Drosophila melanogaster: one gene and its partners. The protein of the gene in region 2 interacts with the protein of the main gene of each other region in a pairwise test. Each region holds a gene or a part of one and is shown on either strand. Other genes may lie near its edges.

Region 1 (4,988 bases), 4.3 Mb from region 2:
GCCTACAACTGGACCGTGTCCAACAGGACCAGCGTGTCCCACAGGTCCGTGGCCAGCATTGACTGGGTGTCCTCCGTGTCCTACAGGAACATGGCGCAGATCACCGGGAGTTGCCTGGACGGTAGCCAGGGCAATGAGGAGGAAGGCACACAGAGCAAAGAACTTCATCGTTTCAAAATTTGATACACTTTGAGGTGCTGGAAGATCTTATATACCTAATATCGTAACCGTTTACAGTTATCTTTTTTTTTATAATTTTTCGTTATTTTTTGGGTCACAAAACACTAAATTATACGAAATGTATTTCAATATATAGGTTGCCCGTTAATTAGCGATTATGAACAGGTGCGATCATTGAATACCGGTCATTCTTGTTATTTCTGCATTTGTTTGTGCAAACAAGTTTAATTATATTATTTATGGCAACTGTGCTTTGTATAAAAAATATCCAAATTTTTAAAGCCTATATTTAGGCTTTTAAGTAAATGTAAAATAGGCTTGCTGCTGAATTTGATTTATTAATACTCGACGTCGAATTGCAGATGTAAAATAATCTGTGTGTTTGTGAGATTTCATGCAACTAATCGGATCCTCCGATTAATTGCAAAATGTCCAGGAATATGTTCATTACATCCATGTAAATATTTAGGGCAGCGAATATGTACTCCTCGGGACTAATGGAGTACCTATGCTTGCCTCCCATCATCAATTGTGTATCGTAAACTAAATAAACGGAGAAGAGCAGAGCGCTCAATGAGGCATATATGGTGGTGACCATATGTCCGCCCACGAAGATGGTCACAATTCCAAAGAAGAGCAGTATTATCAGGCAGCTCACCAGGAGGCCACCCATGACGGTAAAGTCGTAACGCGTCTGCAGAGCAAAAAGGGTGAGTCCAAGGCAAACTGACGCCGTGATTAGCACGGCCATGAAAATCTCCATTGGGGCATAACGACAGGCTGCCACGCCCAGCAGAAAGGACTCGGCTATCGTGAAGGCAGATAGGAAGATGAAGTTAGCTGGGGTCTGACGACGCAGATCCTCATTGCAGCCCAGAGCCACCAGAGAGAAGACCACTATTAGTATGGCCACCACAAATATCCAGGTGCTTTCTGCCACCATCAGACGCACCCGTTTATCAGCAGTAAGTGAAACTATAACCACCAGGGAAGTGATCAGTTGGGCCAACAGGATGAGGTACACCTTCCGGATGAATCCTCGCCGGATGCTGGCGCTGCAGAATCCCAAGCCCTTGTCTGGATCATCCTGTCCGATTTCCGATCCGTAAGCTGTATATCTTCCCAGCGGAATACACTCCGCCTGGTGGCTCCGATTTCCATACTGATGTACTGGTTCTTGTAAAATATCCAGCATTGTGTCCTTCGAACACAACTTTCAAGTAACTGCTAATTCTTAATTTAATAACCTTTGTCGGAAATTGAAGTATAGTATGACAGAAGAGTCAACGTTAAATGGAATTTACTTCTTAGAAACTATAAATCTTCTTTTCATAATTAGTAACTATCATAAACATAACTTTAACTTCATTTCTTTAGAATTCGAAAATTCACAATATTATAATATTATAATAATATATATCCAATACTGTCTTCCGTCTTATATACATTTGCAGTAATGCGTATTTATTAAATTCAAACAACAATTTTATGTAAAGATTTAAATATGTGACTAATTTGAGCAAAAACGGACTTACGGATAACTAAATGACTATATGGCTATATACACTCTGCTGTTAATACTTATTATTTATACATATTTTAAATGGTTGCAAATGTACCCCTTAGTGCGTTGCAAACTTCTGTCTGAAATCATTATACCCTCTGCAAGGGCATACAAATAAATACAACAAATTCTGCTGCTAAATAGAATATTTATTCCAATATTCAAGTAGCTTTCGTGAAATTATAAATTATCCAGCAGTTTTCTTAAGGTTCCCTTCAGAGATCGCACTGGTCTCAGGAGAACTATTGGCCTGGACGGCAGCCAGGATGAGGAGCAAAAAGGCGCACAGAGCGAAGATCTTCATTTTGGTAACTTTAATGAATACAGTCTAACAGTTGGCATGGCGCTTTTATACTACCGTTTGCAGTCGATTGAGACCAGTTTATAATTTCTATATAATTAGCATATTTAATCAAATTCTTATGCTCGTATTAATAGAATTTTAGCAATACTTTGAAAACAAGTTGGATTGCGTCATTAACAATCACAAAAAATGTGCTCCCTAATATAAAATAAAATTATTTATAATACTATTATACTAATTCCTATAATTCCAAACGGCTGCCATTGTAGCTTAAGAGAAATAAAACACGCTTATTACATTTTGACTTTTAATAAAAGAATACAATTATTTCCTTGATTTTGCTCTCATTTTTTGTATTATCTTTCGCGGCAGTTCTTTCCAAACATTTTTGGTATACCGGTAAGGATCGATGGCGTTCCTAGCGGTTCCAATCGGGAGTGGTGCCTGGGCCTTCTTGCCCCACACCTTCGGGTGTCGCCAGATTACGGGCTTTCCATGCTGGCCACCACCCCGGTATCCAAAGACTCCATCCTCGAAAACGGTCTCTATATTATCGCCGAAGGCTGTGCCCATATACCGATCTCCTGCTGCGCAATCGTAGGCCCTATAGAAGTGATTGTGGGCTACTGGATATGGAGGCGGTATAACTGGTGGCTCCTTCATTGCAGTCTGGGTGCTATGATTCACCACGTTCCTAAGGGCTTTGCGCTTCGGTCTACGAGTTCCCGCCGGCGGAGTCACATCCAGATCGAACTCCAAATCGCTCTCACTTGTGTCGGTAAGCACCAAGTGGTCGGGACATGGCTCTATAAAACGCTTCTGGCACTCTTTCTTGAGAGCCTTATTCAGGTGAAATTTATCCAAGGCATCGCGACAGGTGCACATCATCAGGGACTGGTGGCACTTGCACTTCTCGAAGCCCTGATCCTTGAGAGCACGCTTGATCTGGCGCAGTGCCACCGCCATATCGCTCTTGACGATCCGGAACGTTATGGGTTTCTGTTTCATACCCAAAGTGGGCAGTGGACGAAGGGTTACGAATATATTACCATTTCGCTTGCAAATATTGAGCACGGGATGGCCAAATCGTTTCTGTTCCTCGTAATCAGCTGTTACCTTGCCGCACATATTCGGATCTCTACTTCGCATCAGGAAGTGACGCATCACATGGCCAGAGGATCGTAGGATGGCACCTGGCCGCCAGCCATTCTTCCGTGCCTCGCAACTTTTTGTCCAGTTCCAACCATGGCGACGAGACACAATGCTTGAGGACGAAATGCAGTTTTTGTGGCCAGCCTTTGGATGATGGCTTCTTCCGTCAAGTATTTTGTCTCCTGGGTATAGCGATTTGGTCAGCTCCTTGATGGATCGCCTGCTGCGGATAGTGAACAAGGACTGAGATGCGCAGCGTTCCTTAATAGCTGAAAGCTTCTTGGTGTCGTGGATATGGTACAGATTCTTTAGCTCGGAAAATACCTTCGCCAGGTAGGGAAGATCATCTTCCCCCTCAGATTCCATGACCACACAGAAATCCTCACTTGACCGGGGCTTCGGAATTCGGCGGGGAGGTTTTGGTGGACTCTTGGCGGTAAAAATGTCATCGCACATCTTGCGGATTCGGCAGTGGGGGCAGGTATTACCCTTAGAGCATGTACAACGGCATGGTGGGCACTCGGTATCGTTCCAGATCTTCCGGCGCACCTTTTCGCATGGTGGCTCACAAAAGTCCTCGACTCCGGGCGGTGCTTTTGGTTTTACTAGTTGTTCAGCCAAAATTTCTTCTGCCGTAATATTCTCGATCGGATGTCCTTGGAGTATGGGAACTGCTTTAGTATTGCATTGAGGGCATGGTGCATATTTTGGCATCCACGACATGGAGCACAAGCAGACAGGACAGAACCGTATAGGTTTCACGCCATGTAATAAGTCGGATCTAACAGAAACAGGTATGCCAGATTTCACGGGAGCAAGACTTAGAGACCGCGGTGTGTAAAATGGAGTTATGACATTCGCATCGGAAGGTGGCTCCGTAGGAACCAACGAGCTCGATTGCGGTTCCATTTCTTTGACCTTCTTGGTCACAGAGTCAATGATATTAGAATACTCCTCGGTGAGCTTTTTAAGTTGCATAAATGAGGGTTTTTGCTTGGGACAGCGGTCATCATCTGGAAAGATTGCTCGACGATTTTCCAAGCTTTTGTAGCGCTGCAAGTCCAGCTTCAGGCGTTCATCTCCTATTTCGGATAGAAGTTCAGAACACGGCTCCGAGGGAATTCGAAGTAAAGGATCAGGATCGCCGATGAGAAACATCACATCCTGAGGATTGAAGGTCGGGCCCTGGCTAGCACAACTGACTCGTCCGCTTTTCTCTTTCTTCGGTAGTATCATCGATGATTTGCTGGTTCGGGAAAGACTTTGCCTTGAAGGCTTCTGCTCTGGGTGCTCCTCGCACTTTACGGTCAAGCGGATTAGAACGCTCACCGTTCCAACTACATCAACTCGACGAACCAAATCGAGTGTATCTTCGTGCACCAGATCGTTCATCGTGGGGCTGATCTTGTCAAGAAACTCCACAGGGAAGTTCCCCGTGGCCTTGCCAAGAGTTGATCCCTGGTAAACACCCGCCAAAGTCAAACCCTTCTCCTCCAGACTTTGACGCAATGTCGATGCTTCCATTGGGAGCTCAAACTCCCTGCCGGCCACAAACTGGTCGACATTGATTCGGCTGGACGTTACCTTCACTGATTTTCCGGCAACCTTGGTTTCCACCAGGAGTTTGGCGGGTTCGTCAATCGTTACGCCAAAAATATTCAGATTGGTGATGACCAAGTCGAATAGAAAGTTAGCCGATTCCGTCATTTTTTGGTTGCTTATTTGCTGTATTTTAGAATTTGTATGTCCTAGGTCAGTTCTTCTGAGGTATCATCTATTAAAATCGGT
Region 2 (7,001 bases):
ACTGAATGGAAGCAAACAGAAGAGCGCGTTGAAATCCGATTGAGGCCGCAAATCCTTTGAATGACGGTGACTGTGTGTTTCGCGATACCGACTAACTAATAAACTTGCATTGGAGCACTCAGCACCAAGACTCTACTGGGCACCGTATTCACAGCTATCTCAGCACTAGCCCTGGCCAAGTTACTCGCTAGTCTTTTAATATCTTGAAGTCACTTAGCATATCCACGAGTTGTGGTACTTGAAAATCAAAGCGTGGATAGAACGCTTCCCGAATTCCCATTTAAAATGCACACTACGGCATACGAATGTAAATGCTCCATTTAAAGAAACATTGTAACAATTTGTGCCACTTAAGGTCGAGAGCCTAATTTCGAGTTTGGATTAGTCACTATCAATCGCACAACTCGATTAGATTCGCCATGTTCGCTCCGATAGATCCTGTAAAGATACCCGTTGTAAGCAATCCATGGATAACCATGGGCACATTGATTGGCTATCTGCTGTTTGTGCTCAAGCTGGGCCCCAAAATCATGGAGCACCGAAAGCCCTTCCATTTGAATGGCGTCATCAGGATCTACAACATATTCCAGATCCTTTACAATGGTCTAATACTCGTTTTAGTAAGTATTTGAACTGGGGCTTCTGGACATCTGCAGGTTCTGATGGGAGGATGCTACTTTTACAGGGAGTTCACTTCCTGTTTGTCCTGAAAGCCTACCAAATCAGTTGCATTGTTAGCCTGCCGATGGATCACAAATATAAGGATAGAGAGCGTTTGATTTGCACTTTGTACCTGGTGAACAAATTCGTAGACCTTGTGGAAACCATTTTCTTTGTGCTCCGCAAAAAGGACAGACAGATATCCTTCCTGCACGTCTTCCATCATTTTGCGATGGCATTTTTTGGATATCTCTACTACTGCTTCCACGGATACGGTGGCGTTGCCTTTCCACAGTGCCTGCTAAACACCGCCGTCCACGTGATTATGTACGCCTACTACTATCTATCCTCGATCAGCAAGGAGGTGCAGAGAAGTCTCTGGTGGAAGAAATACATCACAATTGCTCAGCTGGTCCAGTTCGCCATTATTCTGCTCCACTGTACCATCACGCTGGCACAGCCCAACTGCGCGGTCAACAGACCCTTGACCTACGGATGCGGATCGCTTTCAGCGTTTTTTGCAGTGATATTTAGCCAATTTTATTACCACAACTACATAAAGCCAGGAAAGAAGTCAGCGAAACAAAACAAAAATTAACTAAATTTAAACTAAATCATGAGTACAAAGCCTAAAGATTCGTGAAGCAACAATAGCCACAGCCTATTTTTGAATATTTCATATATGATTTTATGGGGTAAATGAATTAAAAAACATTTGTTTTCTTGGCGTCAAACTATTTTTGAAGGCAGTCTCACCAGTGTCATGCAAAGGGTAGTTATAAAAATAGCTAAAAATCGAATGCATAAAGGGGAAACGCAGGCATGCGACTGCTAAGGGAAGTGCATGCACAATGCACGTTTAATGTCATTTAAAACGGCAATTACTCAGCACGCTCGGTGGCTCGGCCAGTTGGAGGCCCCATTCCAGGGGCCAAGGAAGGACGAAGGACGAAGGACTAAGGACGAAGGACCCGAAAAGCTAGTGCCCAACCAGGAACCACTGCACTTGACTGCGGCTTCGCTTTAATGTTGCCGCATGGCCGCAATTATTCAGCTGGCACTTTGACTCTGATTCGCCGCATGCGATTCCTATGCAAATTCGGCCGGCCACGGGTGACCCTTCCGGTGCCATAAATCGCCGGTGCTGGGCCAGGCTCGTTCCTAATATTCTAATTAAATGCAGCATGGAATGTCCAGAGACGTGCTCGGTCCAAGTTCTGCGGAGCATGCAGATCACGTGCCAAGGGGAATCCCCTCGATTCGACGATGGAAACCACGAGTAGTCGAGATGTGGCCGATGGGATTTATTCCGGACGGAGTCTAACTCCTTGACCTTTTCGACTGCATTTGAATTAACTGTCGATGCATTTGAATTCATCTATTATTCAAACGGCGCATATGCAAATTGTCGAGTACACTCAGAGAAACCAATGATGTATCACTTTATAATTCAAATTTAATTTAAGAAGCCAATGTATTGTAAAAGTAATAATAAAATATTTGTTGATTACAAATACATTCTTATTAAATAATACAAAAAAAAAACAGGATCAAAGGTGGGAATTTTATAACAAAAATTGTATGAAAGTTGGAAAGACACTCTTCATTCCTATGCACCCCAATAGTTATGTACATACGAATTACCAGTTTTTGATCACAGTGTAGCAGGTGCATTCAGTTGACCTTGCCCTTGGACTTGACCTCTTTCGGCCGAATGTAGGTCTTTATGTAGAACTTGGTGAACATCAGAAACATGAAGGCGCTGGCCGAACTTATGACATAGATGACACCCCGCGACGCCGAGCAGTTTGGCTGGAAATAGGTGTACATGCAGTGCAGGAACATCAGGAGGAACTGCACCAGCTGGCCCAGGGTAAGGTACTTCTTCCACCAGAGGCTCTCCTGCACATTCTGGCTCTGCGACGAGGCGTAGTAGTAGCCGTACATGACGATGTGCACCAGAACATTGAACATGCAGATCAGGAAGACATGGCCACCAAAACCGTAGAATCGGATCAGCATGTGCGAGGTGAAGACCATGAAGACGTGATGGAACACATGGAGGAACGTGATCTGGCGCTGCTTCTTGCGCAGCACAAAGAATATGGTGTCCATCAGGTCGAGCACCTTGTTCAGATGGTACATGTACGACAGTGTCCTTTCCGTGGACTTTAGCTCATGATCCTGCGGCAGGACTTGCATGCAGCTCAGGTTGTACGGCTTCTGCACGAATAACAGATGGATGCCCTGGGTAATATGGAGCAATCCATTGAAAACGATTAAAAAACTGTGTATATCGATATCCTTCGACTTACGTACCCACACAAAAATCACCGAATTGAACAGGACTTGTCCGATGTTGTAGAACTTGAGCACACCTCGCAGCTGGAGTGCCTCATGCTTGTCCATCAGCTTCCTGCCCAGCTTGAGCACAAACAATAGATACACCGTGATGATGATCACCGAGGTGCGGATACTGCCCGCCAGCGGCAGCTGGACAGGATCGGCGAAGGGCTTATCGAACACCTCGAACATTTTCGCGCACGACTTAACGAGTGACTTGACTTTTACCTTCTGTGATTTCTTTCTTTCACGATAGCCACTATACTATTACCTATTTGCTAATTACATTAGTGCAAATTTCCGGTATGTTTAACCCACTATCAACCTTCAACTTGAATACTTAAAGCTTTGCAAATCGAACTAAATACAATATAAGTAACAGTTCAACTACGTTTTTATTTTCAACATTTTATTAATCAGCAGTGCCATTATTTACAAAATTACTCCTTTTGACATTATTGTCAATACAACAAAAAAAGTGTTCTACATTTATAAAATACTGGCGAGACCCAATTAAAGGGGTATTTTGCATATTTAATAGCATTAAGCAGTCGAGTGGATAGAGAGTTCTAGAAACCAACAAATATCTCCCATTGCTTTATGTAAAATATATATCTATGTATAATATACGATATATACAATGATATAAAACAAATGAATTTGTTGTATCAAAAGCATTTATTAATGACATTGATTAATGTAAGGAACAGTGATATTAAATCTTAATTAGTTTTGCTCATCGGCCCACCGCCGATTTCGTTTTCTTGGGAAGAATGTAGGTGCGAACGTAGAAGTTACTAAATAGAATTATAAATACTACAGATATCAGTGAGCCCCAAGTTGCCGATAATCGTGATGTTTGACAATCAGTTTGCCGGAGGATATAGACGCTGTGCGAGAATATAATAACAAATTGGACAAGCTGAACGACTGTGATGTATTTCTTCCACCAGAGATCGCCACCCGAGTTCCGATTGAGGGACGACTGGTAGTAGTAGGTGTACATCATGGTGTGCACCACCACGTTGAAGGTGATCAAGAAGAATCCATGGCCGCCGTATCCATAATAATACATGTACAAGAAGCCTATGTACACCATGTATACGTGGTGGAAAACGTGCAGGAACGATATCTGGCGATACTTCTTTCTGAATATAAAGAACACAGTCTCCAGCAGATCCATGAGCTTGTTGAAGAAGTAGGAGTAACTGAGCCAACGCTCCCAGTTCTTGTACTCATGATCCAACGGCAGATTGGATATGCAACTGAAGTTATAGTTGCCAGGACCAAGCATGAAGTGCACACTCTTTAAATTTGGAGATACATATAATGAATATTAATATATTTTTGTTAAAAAAAAGAGCATTACTTACAAATATTAACAAAATGACATTGTATGCGATTTGCACGATGTTGTAGATCTTGATAGCTCTATCCAGATTGTAGGGCTTTTGATTCTGCATAAACCAAGGACCCACTATTTTTATGAAGACTAGATAGATTCCAAGGATGGTCAACACCGGCCAGTGGCTGCTGGTCAACGGAAGACGCACAGGATCCGGTGGCGATCGATTCAGGAAGTCCAGCATATGGGCAAACATGTCGGATATCTAAGTGTTATCGACGTCGGTGGAATAGCGACTGATGTGGACTCCGGCCGAGAACCGAGAAATGGTAATCTGCTCGTTTTCGAGGCTGATTTAAGTGTGTGTTTCTATTATACAAATACCTACATACGTAAGTAAAACCTATTACGCCGACCATATAAGAGGGTATTGCGGTCACAAAGTAAGGAAAATAGGTTTCCATCGCTTGGAATGCCGGATATGTTGAACATCCACTGTCCCCTGGTTACGAAAGGTAAAATAATGGCATTCGTATTTAGTTTTTAATGTAGTCCAGTTTTAAATGCAGTCCAGTTTTTAATGCCTTTTGACGTAATAACTTTAACGTATTCTAAGATCAATCGATTTTATATAATTCTAACCGTGTCACTTCTAATGAAGTTTACTTACACTTTGTTTGATATTGATATTTTCGTAGTAATAGCATACAATTTCGGGCAAAGTCTTGTGTTATTCCACCTTTTCCATCATAATATTCATCCGAATATCAGTCATTACTAGTAAACAGATATACAATTCAAATACATCTTTATGTTTTTTATTAGCTCTAAAATTAAAATAGGTTTCTCTATAGAGATCTAAATGCTGCACAGAACAAATCTGATGACTGGCTCTAGCTTAGATGTTTTTCTGTTTCCTTTTCTTGGGTCGAATATAGGCATGAAAATAGAAGTTGCTAAATAAGATGATGAACACAACGGAGATGCTGCCGGCACAGGTCGCCGAGAACCGGGCTGATGGACAGTCCGGTTGCTTTAGGGTGTAGATACTATGCCCCAGAACGATTCCAAACTGGATGAGCTGAACGATAGTGATGTACTTCTTCCACCACAGATCGCCCTTCGAATCGCGATTGAGCGACGACTGATAGTAGTAGCTGTACATCATGATGTGCACGACGACGTTGAAGAAGCACATAAAGAACCCATGACCACCGTATCCGTAGTAGTACAGATACATAAAGCTGAAGTACAGCATGTACATGTGATGGAAGACGTGCAGAAAGGATATCTGGCGATCCTTCTTTCGCAGCACAAAGAAGACCGTCTCCAGCAGATCGAGCAGCTTATTGAAGAAGTACGAGTACGTAAGCCAGCGCTCCCAGGTCTTGTACTCATGATCCGGCGGCAGGTTCTTGATGCACTTAAAGTTATAGTCTCCGGGTCCCAGCATGAAGTGGACAGCCTGTAAAGTGGAATTTCTATATTAAACAATCCGTGATGGTTGATATTTTTGGGGGGAAACTCACAAAAAAGCACATGATGACATTGTACACGATCTGCATGATGTTGTACGCCTTTATCAGACCGCGAAGGTCAAAGGGCTTTCGATTCCGCATGATCTTTGGACCCGCTATCTTTACGAAGAACAGGTAGGTGGCCAATACCATCAGGACGGGCTTGTGGCTGGCCAGGAGTGGCAGGCGCACAGGATCGGGTGGGGATTTGCCCAAAAAGTCCACTAGATCACCCAACATTGCGATTGTGTGTGCTTACCGTGGATCGATGGAAATGCGACTAATTTTATTGTGGTTTATAAGCTTCGATAAACACGCTTAATTGGTATGGTAATTTAGGCGTGAGTACGGCAAGTAGGGTTTACCAATACTCGAAGCATGCGACAAATGCATGATTTGTATTTAATTTGAAGAGCCTGAGGAGGCAGACAGTGAAAGTAACCATGAAAATTGATTCCCCTTGGCTTTAAATCAATACCAATAATGCAAAACTTTCCACGTACCTTCGCAACTTTAAACATGATTATGAAAATTCCATTAAAAGTTTAATGGGCTCCCGGGAAATGTTCGAAAATCACGCACATGCGAAACGAAAGCGGTACAAAAAGATGGGCGGCCATTTTCGTATCGCATCGGGTTACGCAGTGGGCGTGGCCAAACTGCAACTGCAGCAACTTCCATGCAAAGCGGATGCGAAAATGGTACATAAACAAATACCGCCACATCACGCACATCCAGTGCAACAAAAGTGGCAACAGCCATAACAAATTTAGAACTAAATACGGGTCGCGGCATCTAGTGCACTTATTTAAATGCAATAGTGGGTTTTAATACAATGTACATACATATATGTGTCGAAATCAACTTTAAAAGAGTCTACCAATTTCGTTTTGTGCTTTTTATTAAGCGCTTCAATAGATGGCAATGAGCATATGTCGAAACTAGTTTAATTAGATACCAGTCGCTGCCTTATAAAACTGAAAAATCAGGCCAAGTACATATCACTCGTTGTCGGCTGTCTCACTAATGGCCACATACTTCCGATTCTTAATTATCACAGTTTGCATGAGTAAAGGTGTGATAGTCGGCATACGATGCACCTTAGGTGGATCAATTGCACGTGGATTGTAGCTTTT
Region 3 (5,070 bases), about 10 Mb from region 2:
GTCGGACTCATTTAAACCTGTTGGTGGAAAAGTCTGGTGAAGTCATGAGTTTTCATTTAAAGTTTCTCTGAAAAGCCATACCTAAGTTGTCGTCCTCAATGTTGCCAGAGAAGTGAAAGATTTTCTTCAGCTGCGTTGGATGCTCCGATTTTATGCGTTCGAAAATGGGATTCTGAAGGAATCCGCGAAATCGTTCCTCTACTGTGACTCCGCCCTTAGGTCGGATGAGCATGTAGATCCGCTTGATCTGCGGAAAACTCCAGAGCAGCTTCTCCAGCAGCGACTTGCCCACAAAGCCAGTTGCTCCTATTAAAGTTAACCATCTTTGAACAGTCTCTTTTGGAGATCGCGTCTGTATTACCCGTTATGAAGACCACAGCATCTTGGTAAATATCCGTCTGGTGCTCCACAGTACTCACTTCGGCGTTGTCCATGGTGTGGCCACTTTGAAGCCACGATAGCTACTGATCCGGTGAGCTACTCACTTTCAACGCCTAACTGGCTTGGCAAAAGAAATGCCTTGGTCCTCCCGAAACAAGTTTTTCGTGAAAATGCAAGTGGAACATGCAATTGGCCAACGAAAATAGCAACTCAGACGTAACATTTGAGCACAAACATATTACATCATATTTCGATGGGGATGTGGACAACACTAGACCTTCGTTAATGATCATTGAAGAAGTCATGAAGTGGGAGTCCATACCATTGGCTAAGAGTTCTAGGCCATTTTCAATAATTCAAAAGCCATGAACTTGAAAACTCCGGAGTAGATAAGTATTATATCTATTATATAAAATATGGCGATACCATTAAATTAAATGTATCCACAGCTGCGAAGCTTTCCAATCAGTTCGAATTCCGATGTTGTTTACCTGTCCAATTCATTAGCTTCAATCATGTCAATTGCCCGCCACCGCGATCGGATTCCCCGGCTAGATCCTCCCATAAATCCGTAAGATCGCCGCGAAAATAGATCGCAACTTGTCGGCCAAAATGTTTGCACAATCGGTTAGGAACGTTGCTCCGCTTATTTGGAATGATTTGATTAGCGACGACGTCGTAGGCAGGCACCGCAAACCGGAGCCCTCGAGTTTACCTGCCCAGGTGAGGTGCTAAGCGAAGTCGCAGTCATGCTGGAGGGTCGGCACTCCCAAGACGTGGTAACTAAATTTGGCAGCTAACTAAGAATGAAGAAGGATAATCTTTATCGAGGCTGGATGCCCAATATACGCCGAAACTCACCTGCTCCTTTGGACTTGGGCCACATGGCGCATAGCTTCACCTGCACCGATCCGAAGGCCAACGAGGTATCTCCTCAAACTCCACACCCGAAAGCAAATAATCTAGCAGATGACAACGATGACGATGTCATCACACACATCATGGGGAACTTTGGGCCCTGGCAACTGCGCTCCCTGCTCATCCTATTTCTCTGCAAGATTCCAGCCGCCTGGTTCATGGCCTGCATCCTGTTCACAGCGCCGGATCTGTACCCCGAGGAGGAGTACAAGTGTGATACGACGGCTTTCGGGCCGGATGTCAACTCCACCGTCTCGCTGGACCACTGCTATGTGATGGTTAACTACGGAGAGTCCGCCTACGCCATGCGCCAGTGTCGAAAGTTCCTCTACACCACGGGTTTCCACTCCCTGACCATGGAGTTCGATTTGGTGTGTCTGTGCGACTTCTTTGTGGCCTGGTCTCAGTACTGGCACCTCTTTGGCCTCCTAATCGGTGGCGTGGCGGCCACCAAGTTGATGCGGGTCCTGAGTCCCCGACAGATTTATAGAACTGGCATCTGGTGCCTGCTCATGTGCAGCCTACTGATGGGTCTTGTCAAAGACTTCAGTCTGCACTGTGGACTCCGATGCCTGGCTGCTGTTTCGTGCTGTTTTATGATCACCTCGGGGCAGTATATATGTAAGTAAAATTGAATATTTAAGAATACTTTAATATTAAATAACCTACTTTTCAGTTGGTGACATAACAGCGGGAAAATATCGCGTAGGAACCCTCATACTTTACGACTGCTTCTGGGCTCTGGGCTTGATTCTGCTCCCTGGCTTGGCCTCCAATGCTCCCAGCTGGCAGCACATATACTTGGGCGTAACTCTTTCCTTGCTGGTGATTGTCTTTCTGCTACCCTGGACTCCGGACTCACCGCGCTGGCAGCTGCAACACACCAAGGAAGCTCAACTGGCCATCGAGCGAACGGTGGGTATCCTGCTGGAAGCAGCCCGTACCAATGGTAGAATGCACAAAGTGTCCAAGGAGTTACCCCAGCAGTTGGAGGAGCTGAGAGAAAGGATGCTGGAGCCAATGCCCGCCGTGCATTGGATGCACTTGTGGATGGGCCAGCGTAGGAGTACTTTCCACTTGGTGGCCGTGCACATGGCACTTGCCACCTTCATGGTGGTCAACACTGGGCTGCTGCTCCATGTGCGGTCCTTTGGCAGGGAGCACCTGGTGTCCAACACACTGGCCATGGGCCTGGCCGAGATGCTTGGCTGCTTCCTGGCCCTACACCTGACCTTCAACCTGAGTGAACGCAAGTGGCAGTGGGCGGGGGGATTTGCCATCGTGGTCGGTTGCATCGGTAGCATCTGTTGGTTCCTGGCCGAGGAGGATATGCCCGAGGTGTATGGACTGACGCTGGGCTTGCTAATGGCATCACTTCCCCAGGCGGCCGTAGCCTGCGCCCAGTCCATGATTTTGGCCTGCCTGGGCGAACTGGTGCCAATGGAGCAGCGTAGTTGCCTCTCCTTCTCCGCCGTCACGTGGGCGCGGGTGTGGCAGCTCTCCGCCTCTTTTCTCACGCTGCTCAGGCAGGTGAGCCCCGCCCTCTCCCTGTCCGCCTTCTGTCTGCTGGTCATCCTGGGCGGCCTTGGCACATGTTGCCTGGTCACGCGGGACAAGGAGCAGCCACCGGTCGGAGCTGTGGTAAACAAGGGACAGCAACTTATTGCGTTCACGTAATAACGTATACTTAATATATGTCTGGGCGTATTTGATAAGTTAGTTGTAGTGTGTGTCAAGTATTCGCGAACAGTATTCGAATTTAGCTCATTAAACATTCGCTTATCGCGAATCGAATATGTATATTGGGTTGCATACTTTTGGGAATAAATCAAAAGTTCGGCATCTACACGTAGTTTGTTTAAAATGTAAAGCTTACATTAGATCAATGCAAAACTATTATAAACTATTTGGCAGAATAAGGCATTAAATAAATTAAAACTGGTTTGCATGATATTTAAATAAGCTTTCAGGAACCAGAGCCATTTGGGACCAATGTAAACCCACAAACACCAACCCTACCGGCGACCACCTTCATCCACCAAGTTGACACACATTTCGTGTGACTGGTATAATAAGTACACATGCCCGGCTAAATATCCAAGCGCATTGCTCCACTAACAACATATTTCTATTTGGTCACCTGTCCCACCATTCCCACCCAGCCAGAGCGACAAGCAGAAATCGCAAATCAATAAAATGGAAACCATAAAATTGCCAGAAGCGGCGCCACGCCAATTGGCACCACAAAGTTTGTGTCATTTGCGGAGCAGCAGTTGGCGAGGAAGCACCAGGCGGAGAGCACTTCCAGGACCAACTCCAATCAAATGCAGTGCTGTGCAGGCTGACCGACCAACTGCTGCTATCTGGATGCAATGAAGCCGAAGAAATCGGCCTTTGCCAATTCATCCACGGGATACGGCAGGAACAAGCACGGTAAAGGACACTCTGGCAAGGATAAAGTCGAGGGTGGTGGTAAGGGCAAGAGCCGAGACGAGAAGGATAAGCATAAGCATGAGCAGAAGGTGGACGAGAAGGATGACAAGGATCTAAATTCCGGCTTCGGCGACTATCTTCGCACTCCGGAGGGTCTGTAATTTTCGCTCCTTAAAAATATATAGTTCATTTAACTAATAAATATTACCCCTTTCCAATAGCATTTGAAATGATGAAACTCTTTGTCTTCGCCAATACCATAATGCTAATTGTCACCATGGCCTGGCCGCACATCAAGGAGCAATTCTACATGGTTAATCAATGGCTTGAAAGCTTCCGCGAGGAGCATCAGCAGTAGAAACCAAAGGATCTATCGAACAAATAAGTAAATCAAGTGGAAGCATACAATATGGTCGGTCCATTCATGCAGGGCCTATTCTTGATTGGCATCATCTACTGGTATTCCAAGGGGATGATGTCCATGATCAACGACTACTACAGAAGTGAGTTCCAGCGAAAGTTGCAGACGGAACCAGCAAAGACGAGGGCAGAGACACCCATCAATGTGGACAACTTTATGGATTATGTTAGGGAGCTGGACACTCCGGACGAGGTGGCTAGAATTCCGGCGGAAGGAACTGAATCTCCGCCCATGGGAAACACCTATTGCCACATCCTTCGACGATTCTTGGAGATTACCGGCACTCTACCACCATTCGATGTTTGCCTAGTTACGAGCAACATAAGATAGCCCATCCTATAATTAATTATATATGGTATCAATTATACTTAGTGTGTTTTATATGAGTTTCGTAGAATAAAATATCTTACTAACCGTATTGCATACTTAATTGTCTTGCTCTCTACATTCGAATTCTACATTGTATCCCACCATTATGAACAACAATAGAAATATTTATCCAACTTGTGGTTTTCAGCTTTTTTATTTAAATGTTTGCAGAATATATTCGTGTGTCTCCAGCATTAGCTCACTTACTAACCTATTCACAAAACTTTATAAACATACTAATCTCTATAAATATCATGGAATATATATCGATTTGGTCTGTAAGTAAGCTCTATTCAATCCAGATCTGGTCATTGCTAGTTTGCATCTGAAGCATCTCGTGAAAAATAGTTATATGGAGATATAAAGTAGTTAGGTATTTGACTTGGAAGTTATGCCATTTGGTTTATAATAAGTGCTGTCTACAAATCGCTTGTGTTCAGGTATTCGTTTTGTGGCACAAAGTGTAGAGTTTTGAAGATACCACAAAGCTGAAGATATCTTAAGTATCATTTGATTTAAGGAGGTCAGTATGTGATTAAGAGCTAGGT

The links.
Region 1: the proteins of CG16904 (region 2) and Recs1 interact in a two-hybrid assay, tested with the Drosophila melanogaster proteins (one large-scale study listed by BioGRID).
Region 3: the proteins of CG16904 (region 2) and Xport-A interact in a two-hybrid assay, tested with the Drosophila melanogaster proteins (one large-scale study listed by BioGRID).

The regions. Positions count from the first base shown.
Region 1 is NT_033777.3:14,152,385-14,157,372, forward strand, and holds Recs1 (Recs1), read right to left. Parts: upstream 1,446-4,988; 5' UTR 1,376-1,445; coding exon 581-1,375; 3' UTR 501-580; downstream 1-500. Other genes in the region: CG42500 (uncharacterized protein), read right to left, coding at 1-168; CG44215 (uncharacterized protein), read right to left, coding at 1,932-2,048; CG31533 (uncharacterized protein), read right to left, coding at 2,373-4,907.
Region 2 is NT_033777.3:9,813,763-9,820,763, forward strand, and holds CG16904 (uncharacterized protein), read right to left. Parts: upstream 3,218-7,001; 5' UTR 3,196-3,217; coding exon 2,980-3,195; intron 2,908-2,979; coding exon 2,335-2,907; 3' UTR 2,166-2,334; downstream 1-2,165. Other genes in the region: CG8534 (uncharacterized protein), read left to right, coding at 1-43; eloF (elongase F), read left to right, coding at 420-620, 686-1,258; CG9459 (uncharacterized protein), read right to left, coding at 3,740-4,309, 4,377-4,604; CG9458 (uncharacterized protein), read right to left, coding at 5,247-5,813, 5,878-6,105; CG42857 (uncharacterized protein), read right to left, coding at 6,867-7,001.
Region 3 is NT_033777.3:19,913,896-19,918,965, reverse strand, and holds Xport-A (exit protein of rhodopsin and TRP A), read left to right. Parts: upstream 1-3,553; 5' UTR 3,554-3,671; coding exon 3,672-3,885; exon of another isoform or gene 3,886-3,889; intron 3,890-3,953; coding exon 3,954-4,090; 3' UTR 4,091-4,141; coding exon of another isoform or gene 4,142-4,483; 3' UTR 4,484-4,570; downstream 4,571-5,070. Other genes in the region: CG4770 (uncharacterized protein), read right to left, coding at 1-17, 82-306, 362-434; CG4465 (uncharacterized protein), read left to right, coding at 1,188-1,920, 1,976-2,976; Xport-B (exit protein of rhodopsin and TRP B), read left to right, coding at 4,142-4,483.